Linked DNA regions of Drosophila melanogaster. The protein of the gene in region 1 interacts with the protein of each later gene in a pairwise test. Each region holds a gene or a part of one and is shown on either strand. Other genes may lie near its edges. The genes, in order: CG6664 and CG6398.

Region 1 (5,851 bases):
TCCTCCTCACTGTTCTCCCCACGCCAATCGTCCGCATCGAACTCATCCTGCTGCTCCTCCTCACTGTCAGCGGCATCCAGACCAGAGTCCTCTCCATCGTCATCCTCATTCTCACTACTTTCCGCCTCTTCATCCTCCTCTTCGTCGTCTTGATCATTGCGGAAGTCCTTGGACTTGATGGGCTTGGCATCTGAGAATAGACGGAACTCCTGCTGTTCCATCTGTTCATCAATGGTGGCCTTCTTATCGATCAGCTTGTTCACCAGCTCCGCCTGCTCGGCAGCCTCAGCGGTCTGCTCCTGTTCCTTGTGCGAGTGCGATCCCTGTAGCTCAATGTAGACAGCATCCTTGTCGTAAACAATGCCACCGACTCCGGACATGGGTGCATACAGTAATCGCTCTTTCTCCAGCAAACTTCGCTTCTTTTCCGTCCCAGGCAGGGGGCAAGGATCGGGAATGACGTTTAACTCGTCGATGCGGGCATCCCCCAGGCCAGCTATGTGCACCATGTGTTCTTGCTTGAGAGGAACTCCTCGGACATAGCCATAGAGTACTACCTCGCGATCGCACTTAGGATCTCGGCGCACGCGATCTGTGTTTGTCACATCCTCGATGCGGTCTACCAGCAGATAACTATGTGCACCTCGCCACTGCAGCGGGCGAAACTTCATCACAGAGATAAATCGTCCCAGGTTTTTGACTTCGTTCCGGAGGTACTCGCCGTGAAGAAGTCCAGAAAGGTAGAATAGCTTGGCGCCATCGTAGACTTCCGTCCAAAAGCGGTGCTTCAGTTCCTTCTTTCGTTTCCTCAGCTGCTTGGGGTTCTTGATCATGTCCAGGTGGGTAAGTACGCCCATTATCTTGGGCATGCCGTGCACCTGGCAGATGTTCAGGAACTCAAAGATCTCCATTTCGAAGCCGTAGCTTGCGTCGCAGAGCAGCAGCACCAGATCGGCGCATTTGGCCACATCGATCATGGAGTTCACATCGTTGTTGCACTCCAGCAGGGTAATCCGGCGCTTCTTGGAGGTCACAATAGTAATGGGACCCTTTATATCGGTGACATTCGTCCGCGTAAAGCTTTTAATTAGGTCCTTGATCAGCGTTGTCTTTCCCACTTTGGGTGGTCCCACCACGGCAATCAGTACGGGTGGCGGTACGTTCGGAGTTTGATCGACAACCGGAATATGCTGCTTCTTGGCCGTAAGGTCCTCCTTGCGCCGGAAGTTCCTCTCTGCTCGCTGCGCCGAGTTGATGGCGAACGCCTTGGGATTCCTCTGCCTGGCGGTCAACTCGGGCTCCTTCTGGTTGGAGTCCTTCTTGGCCTTCAGCTTTTTCTTGTCCGCCTTCACGCCGGACTGGCGGGCGCGGTGCTGCTTTCGCTTGTCCTGGCCGGCATCGTCGGCCATTGTTACAGCCTTTAAATATATTAAATTATTAAATTATCCGCTGTTTGCGCGCTGCACGTGGAGCCAGTGTTGCCAGATTATGAAACAGCCCCAAATCAATTGGTTTCATCCAGCCCTGAATACATATCGTAAATAAATAGTACGATAGACTGACTATATTTTGTTTGTTGCGGCCTACGAAATCTATTGAGTAAAGTAATGGTTTTGAACGTATTATTTATTTCAGCATATGTTATACGCTACTAGGAATCATAAGCACTTTGTTTGTAACACGTATAAGCGTAACCAAAATCGCAATCGTCAAACTCATGAAAAATGGTATACAAATCAGAAACGTTTAAAACACAAATTAAGAAATAATTTATTTAGTAATGACCGTTTTTAAGTAAAATGTCAAATAATACACATTTCGACTTCCACCTTACAACGACAAGAAAGAAACTTACAAAATTAACGTATCTGTCTATTTTCTGATATATTTTGATAAAATTGTAATACAATTTTTGAATAGCATAATTGTATTGTTTTCCACCTCTACTGGTATTTCCTCAAGTGTCATCACTACCTCGCGGCGTTTCGCTGTGAGCGCTTTTTCGGTATTTCGCCACATATACGGTCACACTTCTGCACTGTGGATTTTTCGCAATTTGACTTTAATTTTATTCGATCGGATCGGGCAAAATGTACCGCACTCAGATCTGCAGGCCCTAAGCAGACGCCTAAGGTTCAACTCTACTCCGTTCGCAGCTGCATCCTTTCACCTGCGCAGGTGAAACGCAAGAACGGCAACCAGAGCCCTGGTGAAACAGAGTCGGCGAAGGAGTGTTCAAGAGGGGGGAGGAGCAGTGCGGCGGAAGGCAAAAGTCTTTTAAGGCGAAACAGCGCACAAAAGCCAGGTAACCAAAGATAGAATCTGGAAAATCGGACATTTTCAGCCGGTTGAAAGGGGGAGGCGTAATCCCACATGTGAGTTGGAAGTCACTGGCAGTGGTGGGCTGTGGGTGGTGGTGGTGGCGATGGCGATGGCCTGCCAGCCTGTGCAAACCCTTCCTTCGCCGACCTTGCCCTTCTATCGATTTCCGAAAAATTGCATCAAGCCAGATGCACAGAAAATCACAGCTGAAGGTTAAACTTTTGCATCGGATCAGGGCCAAAACCAAACACCACCACCGACCGATTTCTTTATTCTTTGTTCCTCACGGGGCGCAGACGAATTCAAGAATAAAGAACAGCCAGTCGCCACATATATATGTACTCATGCACATATGTATAATATATATGTGCTTAAAAAGCGACTGGCATACATTATTTCTCGTCATACATATATGTATATGCTCAAAAAACGTAATGGCACTGGGCCATTTACCTTTAGTTTTGCAGGCATGGAAAGTCCCTGTGAATCCGAAAGTTCGCTGGACGGTGGCACCATGCTGCCACCAAGCCCAGTTTCCCGGGAGCAACTCCAGAAGAGGATCGAATCGCTCACCCAGCAGAACAAGTAAGTCAGACACTATTTTTAAAATGCATTTTTACCACAAATAATATGACTCTACGCTTCTAGGGTGCTGAAAGCCGAACTGGATACCTTCAAGACCAAGTGCAAAGTGGTGCAAGAGGAGAATCGCTGCCTCAAGCAAGCCTCAGTCATCATTGTTAGTACTACTTTTATGTTATATCAAATTGAAATTGAGTTTCACAAAAGTTGCCTCAATTTACCTTTGTTTACTTTCACAGCAAGCCAAAGCCGAGCAGGAGGAAGAATACATCTCAAACACGCTGCTAAAAAAGATTCAGGCCCTCAAAAAGGAGAAGGAGACTCTGGCGCACCACTACGAGCGCGAGGAGGAGTGTCTGACCAACGATCTCTCCCGGAAGCTCGACCAGCTGCGTCAGGAGAAGTGCAAGCTGGAGCAGACACTTGAGCAGGAGCAGGAGTGCCTCGTCAACAAGCTTATGCGCAAGATTGAGAAGCTCCAGGCGGAGACGGACAACAAGCAGACCAATCTCGAGCAGCTGCGCCGCGAAATGGTCGAGTTGGAGAACACGCTTGAGCAGGAACAGGAAGCTCTTGTAAACAAGCTGTGGAAGCGCATGGACAAGCTGGAGACCGAGAAGCGTTCGCTGCAAATCAAGCTGGATCAGCCGGTTTCCGATCCGACTACGCCGCGAGACATCACAAACAACGCCCATGCCAATGGTGGCGATACGGCCACCAGTTTGAGTGCTCATATCCAGATTCTGCGCTCCGAAGTGCTTCGCTATCGCTCCGACCTGGCGAGCGCTCAGAAGGAAGCCACTATCAAAACACAGCAGTATGCGCAGGAAGAGAAGTCGATTCGCGAGGAAAACGCTCGCCTTCAGCGCAAGCTAAAGCAGGAGGTGGAGCGCCGCGAAGCCCTATGCCGGCACCTCTCCGAATCGGAATCCTCGCTGGAGATGGACGAGGAACGCTTCTACAACGAGAACCTGATGGGAGGCGGTTCGTTCGCTGTAGCGACGGCAGCAGCCGCCGCCGCAGCTTCAGCGGTGAGCGCCCAACGTCAACGCACCATCAGCAGTCCCGTCTCCCACAGTCCCTCGAGTAGCCGACCTCTAAGTCCGGGCACGGCGGTGCAAAACCGCTGCTATGCCTGCGGCCAGCTAGTGGTGAGTACGATATTGTGAAATGTTGCTTTCCAGATTTGTAAAATTAAAAATTCTTCGTTTCAGAATCGTCGTGCCAGCGAACGCTTCATAAAGCCAGCACTGCCAACGCCCATGCTGGGCCTGAACACTTCCGCACCGAACGTGCTGACCTCAACCAACCCACTGCTGGGCATTTTGGGAACCGGCAGCTCCTCATCGTCCGCGTCCGTATCAGCTGGGAATGCCGCTGGCGGCTTTCTCTCGAATCTGGGAGGCGAACGCCTAAGCCTTGGCTCGTCAAATTCGGCTGGCGGCAGTGCCACCTTCTTGGCCGGCGGTGGAGGTGGAGGTCTGCTGGCCCAGCTCACTAGCCACTCCAGCGCTTCGTCGTCGTCGTCCAATTTGATGAACATCAGCCTGAACAACTCGTCCAGCGGCAATCTTGTTAACAGCAGCAGCAACTCCTCACTGTCGGCGTTTACGCCAACCAATCCGCCCAGCTCGGCGGCCACGGCCTTTATCCAGCCAGCCAGTCCAATGGACACGTCCACCTGCAAGGACTAGGAGGATGCAGTAGCTCTCGCACAGGGATACAGAAAAATCATGACTTATTCACACACTTTCACACGAAAACACACTATATTCATAAACACGCACGCATGCAAGCAACCAGTTTAACGATCCTAAAAACATAAGAAAACACAGAAACAAAAGATGAGAAAGTAACTATCGTAAGCTTCTCCAGGGCGACTCAAAGTCGCCACATTTATATATGGTTAATATGTATATGTATGTTCTATTTGATCAAAATCTCTTAAAACCTTTCAATAACGGAATTCCTAGGCGAACGAATATTTAGCGCTAATGTTTAAGATTTGAATGTTTTTCTAATTTCGCTCGGTTCCAGTTAAAGTTAAGTAAAACACAGCTAATAATGAGATATGGAGGATATAGAGGATGAGAATGAGGATGGACAGCACACGCTAACCAGATCGTATGAATTTATAAAAAGGGTGAATTCTATTCATGTCGAAACCATTTTCCCACAATTCCTTCGCATGTGGGCCTAAAAAATTTTGAAGTATGTTTATGTAAGCCAACAAAAATAAAGTTCAACAATTTAAAATTAAATAAAAATTCGTCCAGAATTTTTTTAAATTAAATTTTGTTTAAATTCGAGGTGCAAGGTTTTCAAAATTGTAGAAAGTACAACTGTAGACACTACAATATATGAATTGTAAACATCATCTGATAGGTTTTTTTAAAATATGTTTTCAGAAATAACATTTTTTTCTTTTGACGAACCACAAGAACAAGAATTTTCGAATTTCCGTTAAATGCACGACAAATGGTGGGGCAACACTTAAAGTATCCCCTAAAACTGCCTTCATACTTCTGCCACTTGGCGTGCACACACTGGCGCGCAGCTGCAGCTAACTTCGCGTTGCAAAATGCTCTTGTGTTGTTTGTGTTTGTGATTGTAAATAAAGGCCAAACAGTCAGCGCGAAGCGTTAAGACCAAAGACTAACCTTTGGGCCAGGCCAAAAAGCGGAGTGTAACACCTCGAGCGAGAGCAAACAAAGCCGCAAAGTGTTCAATTAAAATAAGTGACTTGACTTTGATCTGAGAACCGAGAGAAAGACGGTGAAATAGGTGGGCAGGAAGTGGGAAGTCAATGATAAATGACAACAAAAAAGTGTGTATTGGCCAAAAGAAGCTCGCATTGGTAGCAACGACAGAAAACCATTTACACACACTCAAACAAACAAACACAGATGGTGCTCTTTAAACGCTGCTGCCGCTCTCCCTCTCTTTC
Region 2 (5,246 bases), on another chromosome or scaffold:
AAATTGAAAACTAAAAACTGACAACTGAACACTGAAAAAAGTGACAACAAGTCGGGACAGCACAACAACCACAACAACAAACTGCGACGTTGTGGAATTCCATCGGAATGCAAAAAGAAAACGAATTATATGAGCAGTGTGAGAGAGAGAGGGAGAGGGGTAATGGGGCGCAGAAAGAGACAGACTGACTGACAGTCAGACACTCGAGGGGCCAAAAACTTTTGGCCAGCAATTGAGAACTGAACTCAACTGGCCAACATGCCAATGCGATCCGATTACAAACATTGCTTTATAAGTGCACGGCTATTCTTGTTGTTATTTAGGTAATTCTGGTATTTCCACACTCACACATACGACACTTACAATGCCCGTCAATATGGTAGTTTCCAATTTTGTTACATTTTGCCAGAGAATAACTAATTAACATGGTACATTTAAAGCGTACGTCTTTAAAATTTGGGAATTTCATGGTCTAGAACTAATATAATCAATGTGTATCACGTTAAAGATGAAAAATAGGACAAAATAATAGCAAAGCGTATCCAATTTATACATTTAAAAATGAATCAAACAGCACCTCTTTAGGGTATTAAATTCTTTCAGTTTTTAGGCGATTTTCTATATGCATATTTCTTAATTTCTTAAACGCTGCTATCTCTCTGCCCGCCACTGTGCTTTTGCTGCTGCAGTCGAGAGCGCGCCCAAAAATGCAATTGAGAAAAACCCACGCCATAAACAGAAACCCAAAATAGACAAAGGCATTAAAGCCGATGAAAATCAACAACAACAACAGCAAGTAGACGCAGCGAGATGCCAATGCCGCACAAACACAAACACCTATCTCTATATGGATATGTCCGTACACGAGATGTCTGTGTGTATATATTTTTTACCTGCGCAGTCGCAGCATCTTTGGGTCAATTGCACACTGCGAGAAATCGGCTGCGCCCTGATTAGCAGCGGGCGGTGGAAAAGGCCGAACTAATCGCACTCATGTGGGCGGAATTTCAGATTAGGCATTTGAATATACAAAAAATTCTCGCCCCAGAAGTTAATGACTCTCTATCAGCTGGACGCATTGTTCTTACAAGTCGATTTTCAAATGAACCATTTTAGATATAGGCAAATTCATGCATGTTTATTCAGGCTCAAAAACAAAACCGTTTAAATGGGTGTGCAGGCAATGATATTGACGTGTCAAATAATGATATTCACATTCCGCAGAAACTCCAATTATGATCCTTCAGTGTAATGGGTATTTGTTTTTAGGAGCCTGATTCCAATATCTTGCTAATAAAATATGTGGCTCAGTTTTGACAGAGTTACGATCTGGCGTGGCATAACTGCGATACGGTCGAGATATGGGAGCACCAGCACACCCCTTCGAACGCCCCCTTCGAGTTCCAGCCCACCGCCTACGCCCATGTGGCTGTGTGCCTCGCGTCCTACCTTCCTGCCCAGTGGGACTGGGACTCCATTGCACAGGCAGCACCGCATACCAAATACCAAACAAACATACGAAAAGATCAACAGGCTGCTGCTTTGTTGTTGTTTGCCTTTCGTATACCCTAACAAAAGGTTACTAGCTCTTATATATCTAACGTTATTTCTGCAAATCTCAACTGGGCATATGTGTTTACGGGATATCATGATTTGCCTTGTCTATCATCGCGTTTTGTTATCTGGATTATCCAGTGTTGGGTTTTGTAGATGCGTTAACATAAAGTCACAATTAACACAAATCTTACGTTATCGAATATGAAAATCTGAAACTTCGTACATAAATGTATAATGAGCTTATGAAAGATCATATCAAGTTCGCCTCAAATTGGCAGAGATATAAGCATTCTGTGAGGGTATTCCATGGTTCGTTTGCCGAAACAGTCTCTCCTTTCTTGTTTTTGCTTTATCCAGCAGGTAGAAGAGGCACCGTCTCCTTGCCTCCTGCTCCTAACTCTCCTCCCCCCTCAGTCCGGTTGCATTGCAAAGCGCTCAAATGAAACGCCGACTGAGACGCCGACTGCGACTTGAGACTATGGGTATGGGTATGGGTATGGTATATGGGTATTTGGTATTACCTGAAGTCTGGCTCAGTCGCCGACGATTTTCAGTCCGCTGGCGAACGTTGTTGCGATCACAACGTCTTGGCTATCAGTTCTCCGTCTCTTTGCTGCCCAGATTCAGATTCTCAGTTCTCCGTTCTCAATTCTCCAGCTCAGATTCTTCGCCGGCGTGCGTGTGTGTGTGTGTAGTGTTGTGAGCGTGTGCAGTGGAGCCCGTGTCAGTGTGTTAGTGCTGGCCCGTTGCTAAAATTATTATTTTTTTTAACGAACGTTGGCTTTTTTTTTGCTGTGCCTTCCAAACTGGTTGCTGCTCTTTTAACTGTGTATTTGTGCAGCAGCAGTAGCAGTTCAAGAAGAAGCGGCAGAATCTAGCTGCGGAAGAAGAAGACGTCGAAGACGCTAGAGATCACGAAACGAAAGAAAAATAATAGCAACTGTAGTTGTTGTTTTCTTCTCGGGGATTTTCGTTGGATAAATCCCGTATCATAGCCCCAAAATAGCTGAGATTTCGAAACAGATCCGGAATAAAACACCAGCATGCCCTGCTCGGCCGTAACCCTATCTATAGCGACGATCTGCGCGATCATCGCCACCGCCCTGCTGGCGATCGCCTTCTCCACGGATAATTGGCTGCACTACGATGTCTGGCGCAACCAGATACAGGTGAGTCTTCAATCTGCAGTCTACAGTGTCTTTAGTCTTCAGTGCCAGAGAAGGTGGGGGCTACGAATCGAATTAACCCAAGGCCCATCCGCTTGGAATACATAATCAGCTAAGGCCAGAGCCAGCGCCACCGAAATATACGGTGCATCTGCGACTGCGTGGCAGAAGCCACAGCCAGAGACAGAGTTACAACCAAAGCCGAAGACTCTCCCGCTTAAGACGGAGCTTTAGCTCCGCTTACGAGCTCTGCACATTGGTCCCAGAGATGTGGCTAAAGTAGATCCAGGCTGGGATTAGGCAATAGCTTAAGAAATCGGAAAAGATCGGGTTCAAAGTCGTGCAAGACAACGATATAATGGTACGATACAATGGAAATATTTAAAATGGGTAGGGAAATTGAAAATATCCTAATTTAGGCCCTACTTATACAATAGATATTAGTTGTTGAAAATAACTTGCTAGAGTTTAGGACTTCGTCTTCTGGAAAGTATAGCAGAGTACTATATTATATTATTAAATATATTTTGAAAATAAGTGGCTTCATTTCACAAATGCCATTGGAAGCATAGTAAATAAATACGATAAGGATTAAAGTTTTCATACTTAATTAATATTAAAACCGGAACGAATATCTCCATAATTTCCAAGGAATTAAGCCCGTTCGACTATGTCCAGAGAATAATGTGTATTATATTTTACTAATAATAGTAGGAGACATTTAGTTCTACAAACATCTTTGCATATCTTTTAAAATCCGTCCTCTTCCGAGAATCTTATCTATAGCGATGCTTAGATAAACAAGATATGTAATTAAGATGCACTTGCTGACATTTGTGCACTGCATACAGGTGTGCGCGGCCCACTGTGCGGAGTAGGAGGGCGAGAAAAAAGAAGCAGGAGGAGGAGTAGGTGAAAAGGGAGGAGAGGAGCGGAGAGGCAACCACGAAGGCAACAGCAACAAACGGAGGTAACAGTAACAGTCGCTCGTTTTGTGCTTGGCCGAAAGAAAAAGAAAAAGGGCAAGGCGGAGAAGAAGAAAGGTCGAAAGCAAATACACGAACAACTGGCATTGGAAGGAGGTGGGTAGGGAAGAAGGGAGGGAGTGGTGCGGTGTTGATCGAGAGGGGCCTGTGGAGGATGGGCAACGGCCGTTAACGTTCAAACTTTCTACGCGAGCGCTTAGCCAAGCGAAAAAACGAAGAAGAGCCCAGGCAGAAGAGGCCGCAGAAAAAGAAGAAAGGGGCGGTGAAGTGGAAGGAGTACACAATTTTACAGTTTGCATTGCAAATACAGTCAAACTGCGGATTACAACACTTCCCATTCTTCCAAGTAATCTAATTTTCAATTTTATGTTGGTTACTTCACTATTTATGAAATACAACTAGCTAACTGAAATCTCAGTTATAATCCGCCTCTTAAAGGGCCGAAAGCAATCGCAGCATATGTGTGTTTTAATTTCTTTCAAATAAGCAGCAGTTTGTCTTAATGAAGTGGCACTGTAGAAAATCCAACTCCGTCTTGTAGGTGCAGCCGAGAGAATTTTAGATGCGGAGAGCTCTATAGAAATAGGTGTAAAATCGCGGCGGTGTGCGTGCGCATACCAATCATACCAAAACAAGTTAGCTAAACAAAAAAAAAAACAATAAAAAACAAAGCTGAAGAAGAGGAAGAAAAGCACTCAAAGTGTGCTGAAAATATTTGCACGTTTTTCGACTTTGTCGCCTAATCCGAAAGTTTCAATGGAATCGAGGGAACGATAATTGCGGTGAGATTCGTTCGAATCTCGCCCAGCGTCGAAGTCTTCAGAGCCTGGGCACTTATAAAGCCATTAGAAGCAATCGTCTGCCTTGACCTCCCCCATTTTGGGTCATCGCTCCCTTCTCCCCATCCACGTTTCTTGTTCCTCCTCCTCCTCCACCTCCATCTCCTCCATCTCCATATCTCCGTTCTCCTTCGATTTCCGCCCCTGTAAGAGCCTTTGAAGAACCGCTCAGGTGCAGCAGGTAACTCGAGATGGGCTACTTGGCCACAGGAAACCCTAGGGTCCTATGAAGTGCATCCCCAGGGGAGTGGAGAACTAAATACCCACAGCGATTATGAGCGCTACTCAAAGAATGGGAATCCGGGGGAGTCAGTCGAGGGAATCATGATGATGGTGTCAGAATATCATCACTTCCAACCTTTCTTTAGCTAATTACAGATGTTTTCTTCGAAAGAAGTCAAATGGAAACTATTATGGTGGAAAAGGAAGCTCTGTGTTGTTACTTTCCTTTAAATACCCCTATATCTTATATTATCTTTAATTGTATGTCTTGTTGGTATATGTACATTAGATTGCATACTGTTTAGAGTTTAATTCTTCCTTTTCTTAGCCTGCAGGCTGCCCTTTTCCTTGAATTTTCCAGATCTTCGCCCTGACCACTAGCTTCACCATCTACTTCTTGATTTCCCCACCGATCCTGCTCCTCGTTGGGTGGGTCCATCGTGTTCGAAGTACTCTTGTAGTGGCTGGCATGCCAC

What was found.
Region 2: the proteins of CG6664 (region 1) and CG6398 interact in a two-hybrid assay, tested with the Drosophila melanogaster proteins (one large-scale study listed by BioGRID).

The regions. Positions count from the first base shown.
Region 1 is NT_037436.4:17,012,197-17,018,047, reverse strand, and holds CG6664 (uncharacterized protein), read left to right. Parts: upstream 1-1,867; 5' UTR 1,868-2,305; exon of another isoform or gene 2,306-2,375; intron 2,376-2,781; exon of another isoform or gene 2,782-2,789; 5' UTR 2,790-2,791; coding exon 2,792-2,907; intron 2,908-2,970; coding exon 2,971-3,061; intron 3,062-3,143; coding exon 3,144-4,055; intron 4,056-4,118; coding exon 4,119-4,598; 3' UTR 4,599-5,162; downstream 5,163-5,851. Other genes in the region: CG7728 (uncharacterized protein), read right to left, coding at 1-1,409.
Region 2 is NC_004354.4:17,828,721-17,833,966, forward strand, and holds the start of CG6398 (uncharacterized protein), read left to right. Parts: upstream 1-2,107; 5' UTR 2,108-2,600; coding exon 2,601-2,726; intron 2,727-5,246.